3 linked regions of the Saccharomyces cerevisiae S288C genome follow. The protein of the gene in region 3 purifies or fractionates together with the protein of the main gene of each other region. This does not show direct contact. Each region holds a gene or a part of one and is shown on either strand. Other genes may lie near its edges.

Region 1 (2,743 bases), on a different chromosome or scaffold from region 3:
TACATATGGAAAATGATTTTATAGCACGATTCCTCATACATAATAATAATAATAATAATAGGAAACAAAACTATTAATTTTTGTAACCGATTTGAACTCACATTAGGGATCCACGTCACGCCGTGCGCGGAACGGTAGGATGAAAAAGGATAAACAGAACTTACATACAAAAAACTCAAATCAACGCAACAGGTATGTAGTGAAGTAAAACTAGACAAAGAGAAGGATACTTTAGTTAGATATAAGAATAGTATGAAAAGATTAAAAATTAAAATATTAGAAGAACAAATTATAATAAAAGAAAGCGGGGTGAATGATAATAATAATAATAATAATAATAATATTAGTTAGAAATAAGACTTCTTCATAATCGTTAATGAAGAAGTGCATATGATTTGTTATTTTTTTTCTGGTATTTTTTTCATTTTTTTCGGGTTTTCCTTGGGTATAATTTTTTGTTTCTTCCGAAAGACGGAAAGGGATGAGGGAAAACGGAGTTTTCTTATTTGCTTTCTTTTTTCCCTAATTTATTCACGGTGTCCATTTATTATATTCTTAATTGAAAGTGGCGTAAAATTTAAGTTGGTGCGCTTCAATTAGACTTGGGAAATGGTTGGAACACCGACTTGGCCAGTTCTTCTTCTCTTGGAGAAAGAACCAGAACCAAAGGCACCATTGGAGATCATGTTGAAAACAGACATCAGGGTCTTAGCCAAAAAGATGGCACAAGAGAAGTAGAGGAATGCAACAGCGGCTTGAGCTTGTCTACATCTGGTACCGGAACCTTGAGTAATCTTGTTACTGTCAACGTATGAGCTGTTGTTACATGAGTGAGCTCTGATACCAACGGCCAACACTGTACCGGCAGTGAAAGTGAACACAAAGTTCAAAAAGTCCAGTGTGAACAAAACTAGTGGCCATGCCAATGGTTCAATGAAGTTGGCAAAGACACCGTACAATGAATCGGTGAATATACCATATGCACAAGCAAACATACAGTAGTTTACTCTGGAGCTGTGCCTATGTTGGGTGTTTAACAACGAACTGATTAAACCGATGGAAATAACCAAAAATAGGAAATTTATTATACGTAGAATGTTATCAGCTAGGGCTAGCATTATGGGATTATATTGTTATTAGGTATGCTTTGAGAAGAAAAGTTTTTTTAACCGATTTTTCTTATTGAAGATGTTTTTTAAAGAAATGTTTATTTATCCTTTTAAAAAAGCGCGATGAGCAGAAAAATTAAAAATGTAAAACCTTTTCAATTGTATTTTTTCTTGATCAATTGCGAACAAAATAGTGGTATAAGTTAAATTTTCTTAAAAAAAAAAAAGGAGACGTAGAAGAAGAAAGAAAAAAGTATCTTTTAATTACAAAACAAAGACTCTTTTATAAAGGAAAATCTGACAGAAGATTGGGGCCAAGGAATTTATAGGGGTATGATTTTTCTGTATACATATATGAGGAAGAGGGGAGGGAAATGGAAGAAGAAGTAGGAAGAAAAAAAAATCAAACCAATTCTAGTCAATTCCGTTAAGGCAGCAAGCTGCCCATAAGTTTCTGTGAGGGGGCGATCACTTTTATGTTTTGGGCATTTTAATTATGACGCAGAGGTCCGCGGACAAGGGGTTTGCGATGGACCTTTTAAAGCAACCTTGGGCCTACCTCAGGGAAATGCCCCTACCAACGTCACTAACGGGCGTGTGCCAAATGGGCCGATGCTCAGATGCGGCCGTTAAAATGGGGGTGGTGTTTCGGGGCCCCGTCCGTATGTGGAAATACCAAAACAGTAGGGACATGCATCCTTACATCATCCGGTCAATCATCAGGGTAATACATATTTTATACTTAATCCGAGATTCGGACCCCTAGTGACAGAATTAACCGCATAGAACCTCTCAAGCCCGTTTACAAACAAAAGCCGCATTGCATTCTCCTTCATGGGATGGTTTATCGAAATAGTTGGAATTCATTCAACAAGGATGTGATGCAACTACACAACAGTATGCTGAATGAAGGCCTATGGAAATAGCCGGGAGGAGGCAACAGTTCCTTTGTATCGGCAATCGGGCTCCGCGAGAAAGCCGCGTATTCCTCCTGGCTGCTTCCTTTCTCACCGCTGCCGAAAAGCTTAATTATCTGTATAGTTTGTTCCGATGAGCGAAACGGCGTTAACATCAAGGGTTAAGGTAGGGAAAGTGGGAATGACGAGAATTTTTTGCTACGCTTTTTTAGCAATTTAGTTTTGGAAATATTGTGGCTGCTCTTAATTGTCCGCCTAAGGAAAAGACATGAGCAACTATGCAACATAGGACAAAAGAAAGAAGAAAAAAGGAGATCTCCGGAGAGGCAGGCGGCTTTGCCGTTGATTGTAATCTCTTTGTTCAGGAAATTGATATAGTTAATTGTATATGGGATTAGCAGTTCTATTTCATGGATTGCAAATCAAACGTGTGGCTCCTCGAGCGGTAGAGACATCTTTCCCGCTGATGTGTGCAACTTCATATATGTTCATATATGAAATTACGTTTGATTGGGCAAACATATTCCTGCTTTAATAAATATACTCAATTGTTGCAGTTCGTGAAAATTGTAACACCACCTTGAAGTGCATTTCACGAGTGTGTAACTGGGCATTTTATGAAACTTCTTGAGTACTACTTGTGTAAAGAAAGCGAGGTTAGCAGTTTAGTTAGTTGGCTCTGCATCGCTTTTAACGAGGATTACTTCTCACTCTTAA
Region 2 (3,415 bases), on a different chromosome or scaffold from region 3:
AAGCATGTGCTCACCATACTACCATCACCCGAATGTACAGCCAACGCCACTTTAGTGGATAATAAGTCATGATAGTGGACGAACAATCGGGGTAAAAGGGGTTGGAAGAGAACGGCTGGAATCCATCAATCAGCAGCGTTTAACGGTTCTAATTTTCAGTTACAAGGATGATCAACGAGAGCCTTATTTCTAATGTTCCCTAATGTATATGTGTTCCGGCTACTGTTTAGCTGAAGAGCTGTGTCTAGCCTTCCTGGCGGTTATCGTTCACAGTCAGCTTGCGCTTTATTTCATTAACATCGAACTAAATACTAGAGGCCATAACCGCAATTACAGCTGCGGCGATAATCTAATTTAACGTCAATGTCTGAATTCTTATTGCTTTGAAGATTTCTTCACCTTTCTTGACGACCATCCAGTAGCACTCAGTGAAATAGGAACAGAAAGAAGATAACGCTTTTTTTGCCGCCATATATTTCTTTCTATACAACACAGCTTCTTTATTTGTATCATCCGCGGAGAAAAGTAAAATGAAAAGCTTATAAAGAGCAATAGATACTAAAAAGAAATAGAATGTTTTCGGATTTACATACAGAAGGTTACAATATTATGTAAAAAGAATAATATATATAAACATCTATCCGTACGAGCGCGTGTACTAGTTTTTCATAGAAACCAATTTAACGTCGAATGTCAGTTCGGAATTGGCAGGAATACCTGGCAGAGCTTGCTTCCCGTAGGCATATGGTGCTGGAATGATGATTCTACGTTCGCCACCAACAGACATACCGGCAACACCAATGTCCCAGCCTTTGATAACTTCACCACGGCCAAGTTTGAATGCAAATGGTTTACCGCTGGTGTTCTTGTCGAAAACTTTACCGTTCTTTAACTTACCAATGTACCTCATGCCTACTCTGGCACCTCTCTTAGCCTGTGGGCCATCACCGATAGTACGGTCTTCGATTACTATGCCGCCTTCCAAAACCTTACTCTTTGGTTTATGCTTATCTTGTTCCTTTTTGCTTTTGGGTTTTGTTGGACCCTCCTCTAAGTCCTTCTTGAATTCGACCTTCTTTACTTTTTTAGCTTTCTTTTCTTCTTCTTTCTCTTCGTGCTTTCTCTTTTTTTCCTTTTTGCTTTTCTTAGGTTCTGGCTTAACTTCTTCTTTTTGTTCTTCTTCTTCTTCTTCTTCTTGTTCTTCTTCTCCATCATTATCTTCTTCATCTTCTTCTTGGACTTCTTCAATACGAACTTCTTCTTCCTCTTCGTCATCCAAGTCGTCCATGTCGTCGCCAATAATTTCATCCTCATCTGGGGTCAAGTCGTAGTCTTCACTGTCATAGATGTCAGCGTCTTCATCTTCGTCTTCACCTTCGACTCCCATTGGAGTATCAAATGGATGCTTAACATAGTTACCGCTCAAGGAGATAGCGTAAGAACCAGTGACAATGAATTGGACTTCTTCTTCTGGAGTAATGGTCAAGTCCAAAGATTGTTGGTATTGGGCTTCCGGAGATAAAGTCAAAAGGACGGATTCTTGGAACTCATCGTCCTCGTCATCGTCTTCTTCATCATCCTCACTTTCACTTTCAGCCTTCTTGCCTTTACTCTTCTTTTTCTTTTGGGTTTTTTCCTCTTCTTCTTCCTCAGAGGATTCTTCGTCTATTTCGTCTTCATCAAAATCACCACCTAAAAAATCATCATCTTCAAAGTCCGGGTTTCTTTTGATAATTCTTAAAGTCGATGGTTTGTTCTCTTCATCGATGGCTTCCGGGTTCAAAGCAGCCATAGTAATACGAACGGTGATGGGCATCGTGACGTCGATTGCTGGAACCGGGGTATAAGGTTCAACATTCAAACTGTAGGTAGCTAGTGGTAACAAATCAGACATATTGGGCTGGTTGGATGCTTGCTTTCAATTATGTATGAACTTTCACACAATTATGTATTATATAGAAACGTGTTAGTAGGCTCTTTTTTCGAATTTAAAAATTTTACCTTCACTTTTAAATTTTGCCGTCCTTTAGGAATGACGACAGTCCGTAGAGGGCTGAAAATTGAACAGCGAGCTAATACTAGTGGATTCTAATCAATGGAACATGAAGCATGTATCATAATCTCTGTTCTTGCCGGTTTTGACTATATAGATGTAGATGCAATCCAGATTTTAGTGAAAGGTAGAGGAAGCAAGCCAGTTGAAAAAGGTAGAAAGTATGCGATGTGTCATATACATTTGGCATATTCTCCCCATAATATCATGAACAGGTGATAGTAGAATGTTTGGAGCATTGATGACAGATTATTTCCAAAAGAAGTTTGATTGTGCGATCGCTCTCTTTTATGTTCTTTGATGCATTTTTGTACAATATATTAAAGTAACAAATCGGCGAAAGAACGTCAGTAATGTGTCGTTGCCAACCGTAAAGTGCTCGATGATTAATTTCACAATACATTTCAACCAAAGTGTTTTCATTCAAATACTGGCACAAAGGTTTGTTTTTCTAAGTGCCTATGGTGTGCGATAAAATGTTTTTGATGGAACACAGTTCATTGCTCAGAAAATACGCCATTTATCTATTTGTGTCGTTCTTCCTTCCAAGAATTACAAGAATTTTATTTTTTATTCAATGCTCAATCGTCTGCTCAAGGACTTCTGGTAAGTTACGTTAAATAATAGCTATGGCGCTTTTCTCATTTCTATAATGCAGAGTTGGTGGCTATAACCGTATTATCGATGTTATTACCGTTCGAATATATGTAAGCTTAACATTGCCGCATTAGTTTTGCTTGAAGATGCTCTGTCCATATTTTGTTAACCCGTCTTAGAATTGATCATTGCTTGCTTTAAATAATGAAGATCTTTTGACGAAGCCAATGACTATGCTGTCTTCAACTTTTGGCAGTAAAGCCAATTCTGTGAGAACTCGCGGGGAAACTCCAAAGCACACTTAGAGAATAAAAATACATGGAGTCGAAGCATGACTCGGATGATTTCTAACGTCCTGACATTTACTCGAAAGTATTTCACTACCAGTGGGGTAAAGGACAATATCGACGTCCGTTGGCTATGTTGGTAACTGAGATGAAGTTGTAACAAATTCCTGCAGGATGCTTTTACACTCACCGGTTGCATTTTCCTCATTTCATAGATAACAAAGTAAACAGAGCGCATTTTTTGGAGTATTTTATACGTCAATGCGACTTTGATACCTGAAATCCCCTTAATATTGGTAGGAACATTGGGCTCAAGCGATGCATTTTCTCTTGCATTTTGTTTCTCACTATTTGTCTTTTCTACTTTCAATTTTCTTATCTTTGTTCTATTCCCGTTCCTGTTCTATTCCCGTTTTATTTGCTGTGAGCAGGCCTTGTTATTGCCAACGTTTAAAACCATTTACTTTTTGTTTAAAAA
Region 3 (4,435 bases):
CGATGTCATTAAGAATGCTGTCTTTGAAGAAGATCATGATGAAATGGTTATTGTTCGTGATATTGAAATTTACTCGTTATGTGAACATCATTTGGTGCCATTTTTCGGCAAGGTTCATATCGGGTATATACCAAATAAAAAAGTCATCGGGTTAAGTAAGTTGGCCAGATTGGCAGAAATGTATGCGAGAAGGCTCCAAGTTCAAGAAAGACTTACAAAGCAAATTGCAATGGCCCTAAGTGATATTCTAAAACCATTAGGTGTAGCCGTTGTTATGGAAGCTTCTCATATGTGCATGGTTTCAAGAGGCATTCAAAAAACGGGATCTTCTACGGTAACTTCTTGTATGCTTGGAGGGTTTAGGGCTCATAAAACAAGAGAAGAGTTTTTAACTCTTTTAGGAAGAAGAAGTATTTGAAAAAAAAAAATAAAAGCGACGATATATCGTGTATGTATTAACTAAATTAATAGAGATATACAGGATTAATATCGTTTGAGAAATCTCCATAGAGAAAGGCCACGCGCGACTGAGCTTTTTTTTTTTTCAACAATCAGTATATACATTTACTTCCGGTACAGCATCGCACTTGACAGTCCGTTAGTAATGAATAGAAAAGTTTGAACTGCTAAATAAAAATCTGTAATTATCACAAAACTAAACTATGTGATATTCAGATGTTTGATACCCTTGTGAGACAACCGTTCGCAGGTAACTGTTAACTCTGGAATGGGTAAACAGTAGCTCACAGTTTGTGAGTTTGTTTGATTTGCATCTCTTTCAACATGAATGGTGGTAAACAAGCCACCAGAAGTTACTGGATAAGAGTTAATTTGGTCATCGTTTTCCAATTTCTGTAGCTTTTGCTGTTCTGTGATGATACCAGGAATGACTATATCACCAACCTTTACGCCTAATTCTTTACTCAATTGGGGATTATTCAACAGGTTTTCTATAGGTATAATATCTGACCAGTTTCTCTTGTTCATGAAACATGATTCTTTACGTTTATGTACTCCATCCACTTCCTTGGCAAAAATTGGTACGGCATCTTCATCCGTTTCCAAATCGAAATGATGCAAGCGACATCTTTTTTGCAATAGCGTGGCCATTGCATCTGGCGGTGGGGTATTTACTATGGCGCTAGCAATGATATTAAAAATCAGCCTTACGTCTTTCGTTGGTTCTTCAATAATTCTGGTGTTTTCCTTTTCCTTCTCCTCAGACATGATGAGATGGTGTCTATGAATTTTTGCCCTAAATCTCCCAACAGATGCCAAATGTACATCGCCTGATAATATGGTTATTCTGACGCCATATTTAGCACCTATGTCTTGCAATTTCATTATCAAGTAGTTTCTTTCTTTTTTATGATGTCTCGCGCACCAATGATCATTTAAATCATCCAACAGTTCTACATCTCCATTAAATTCGTTAACGAAGCCACTAGCAAATATCCCTTTTTTAGATAAATATTTAATTGGAGCCAGTAGTTTTGAGGTAAAAAGCCATTCTAACCATACTAACCTTGGATATGCAATCGGGATACCGAGCATCAGCAATAAGTGGCCACCTTTTAAATTTTTTATTTCCCTTTCGACACGTTCCCAAATTAAGGAATAACTTCTTTCTGAGAAAATCTCGTGTAATTTCCTCTCAGTTCTACAGTCCAACCCTAACATGGCCATTTTCGGACCCAACCAAGAGAATATTGAGTGAGACCTTTCACCGATATAAGAACTCCCTTTTTCATTACCTAGAATCCATTGTTTGCTCTTGAGATAAGCATACTCATCGCCATCTTGTTTAGAAGCACTGACATGCTGCTGGAAAAGCATATAGTATCGGTAAGCCATTCTTCCCACTGTGAGGAAATTTTCAGTCTTCATGAAGGAATCGTTGTACGATCCATAGCCATCAATAATATCGTGGTCATCCCAGACATTAATGGCAGGAATACAAGCTAGTGACTTGACAAAGCATTTTTGGGTGGTCTTGGATTTTGGGGTAGAACCATACCAGTGACCGTAACCGTACCAGTTTAAATAGTGTTCTAAATAAAACTGCCTAATCTGCTCTTTTGTTTCTTCAGTGGTCTGAGTATTATACTTCTTAATTGGGTCCTTTGTCTCCAGCCAAGCTTTAAGATTTGGCGCATGCAGTTTAATATTATCGGAGTAAATTTGATCTCCGCCGCCGAGAATGGCATGATAATGAACGTATCGATGCTTTTTAAGGACATCATACCATAGAGAACCTTTGAATTTCGATGTATCTACGCTCAGTGAAAATCCGTTGCATGAATAGGAGATAACGTTCGAATTTTGAGTGAAAGAGGGAACGAAGAACCTATAATGTGGTTCCATAGTACCGTCAACAGCATATTTTACCATCTGCTCATAGTTGGACATGGGCAACTTAATCTCATACCTGTAAAACCATATATTATCATCTTTTAAAATGTCCTTATGAAAAAGTTTACCTTCGAAGAATGCCTCGTTAACTTCGATGTCTTCATCCTCAGAGGGCAAAGAGGGCCCTAGCTGATAGGTAATTTTCGGAAAGTTTTCCTCGCCTCTAACTACCACCATAATAGACCCCTCGTAGGTTTTTTCCTTAAAATCCATGTTGATGAGTCTTAATATCGGTCCACATATAATACCAGACTTTGGAATTGGCGAAGTTTCGGAACAGTCATCGCAGCCAGTGACATCGTCTCTATAAAGAGCTTCTGGGTTCCAATCGTCGAACCAGTTTGTAGCATGCATTTTTGTAGCAGTGTTTATTTTCAATTGAGTACTTTGAACCCGGTAGCAACTGTTTTGACCTTCTGTAGGACTTTCCCCTCACTAACTTTGTGGAATTTCTTTTCATTTTTACTAATGGACCCTTCGCTATGTAGCCGTGCCGATAAAAATATATTCCTGGTATTACCCGACGCTGCTATTTCAACTTTTTTCAATAAAAGGACGAAAAAATAACATGTTTAATCTTGAGACCTTCTGGGTTAAGTTTATTGATAGAGATTAAGTACTAGTTTAAAACGTCTCAGGCATAAAACATGAATTATGCTAACTTTTTAGCTACAGCGGACATAGTTGTACAAACTGAGGAAAGGCTTCTTTAACCAGGGATTTTGAAGTAGGAATTGTTGAAGTCAAAAATGGGAACCTATGGAGGGGAATTCAAAAGGCATGAAGTCAAAAGATTAACATAATATAATTCAACTTTGAAAAATATTCTAGTCAAAGCTTTCCCGAGAACGCGTAGCGTGATGATAATGGTGTATCCTATCGATCTGTCGACTTGCTATGATTATCTTTGTTAGCCGCCGAAACGATCATTTATGCATTGCCCGAGTATAGTCACTTCTTCTCAATATCACGAGGCACGAATGATTTCGGAGGCAGAAAAAATTTCTGTACGCAACTTATCGAAAGAGAAAACGAAAAAAAAAAAAAGACGATGACAAATTTTCTTCGATGTCTAATGTTAATGATGATTTGCTTCCTGATATGCATCTTTGTGGAGGAATAAAACTTGAAAAAAAAGCGGAAATTTACAACAAGCATGTCTTTCCTCATTTCCTTTGATAAATCGAAGAAACATCCTGCCCATTTGCAGTTAGCGAACAATTTGAAGATTGCCCTAGCACTTGAATATGCAAGCAAAAATTTAAAGCCTGAAGTTGACAATGATAATGCTGCCATGGAATTGCGCAATACAAAGGAACCTTTCCTTTTGTTTGATGCTAACGCTATTCTAAGATATGTCATGGATGATTTTGAAGGTCAAACTTCCGACAAGTATCAATTTGCATTGGCATCTTTACAAAACCTGTTATATCATAAAGAATTACCTCAACAACATGTCGAGGTTTTGACAAATAAGGCCATTGAAAATTACTTGGTCGAATTAAAAGAACCATTGACTACTACAGATTTGATCCTGTTTGCTAACGTTTATGCTCTAAATTCTTCTTTAGTTCATTCTAAATTCCCAGAATTGCCATCCAAAGTGCATAACGCTGTAGCATTGGCTAAAAAGCATGTTCCACGTGATTCTTCTTCTTTCAAAAACATCGGCGCAGTGAAAATCCAAGCTGACTTAACAGTTAAGCCAAAGGATTCAGAAATTTTGCCTAAGCCAAACGAAAGAAACATCTTGATCACTTCGGCATTACCTTATGTCAACAACGTTCCACACTTGGGTAATATCATCGGTAGTGTTCTTTCAGCAGACATTTTTGCTCGTTACTGTAAGGGACGTAATTATAATGCCTTGTTTATTTGTGGTACTGATGAATATGGTACTGCCACGGAAACTAAAGCTTTGGAGGAAGGTGTGACACCAAGACAATTATGTGACAAATATCACAAAATCCACAGTGACGTTTACAAGTGGTTCCAAATTGGATTTGATTATTTCGGTAGAACT

What was found.
Region 1: the proteins of YGR266W (region 3) and NCE102 purify together in Saccharomyces cerevisiae (affinity purification with mass spectrometry, with the first as the bait; one large-scale study listed by BioGRID). This does not show direct contact.
Region 2: the proteins of YGR266W (region 3) and FPR3 purify together in Saccharomyces cerevisiae (affinity purification with mass spectrometry, with the first as the bait; one large-scale study listed by BioGRID). This does not show direct contact.

What each region holds. Positions count from the first base shown.
Region 1 is NC_001148.4:828,293-831,035, reverse strand, and holds NCE102 (Nce102p), read right to left. Parts: upstream 1,119-2,743; coding exon 597-1,118; downstream 1-596. UniProt on the Saccharomyces cerevisiae protein: Involved in membrane organization. Required for the formation of membrane compartments of CAN1 (MCCs), localization of CAN1 at the MCCs and subsequent invagination of the plasma membrane at the MCCs sites.
Region 2 is NC_001145.3:119,431-122,845, forward strand, and holds FPR3 (peptidylprolyl isomerase FPR3), read right to left. Parts: upstream 1,895-3,415; coding exon 659-1,894; downstream 1-658. UniProt on the Saccharomyces cerevisiae protein: Proline isomerase that belongs to an abundant class of enzymes that catalyze the cis-trans isomerization of X-Pro peptide bonds and can accelerate the refolding of proline-containing polypeptides. Specifically binds nuclear localization sequences.
Region 3 is NC_001139.9:1,020,987-1,025,421, reverse strand, and holds YGR266W (uncharacterized protein), read right to left. Parts: upstream 2,767-4,435; coding exon 661-2,766; downstream 1-660. Other genes in the region: FOL2 (GTP cyclohydrolase I), read left to right, coding at 1-418; methionine--tRNA ligase MES1, read left to right, coding at 3,569-4,435.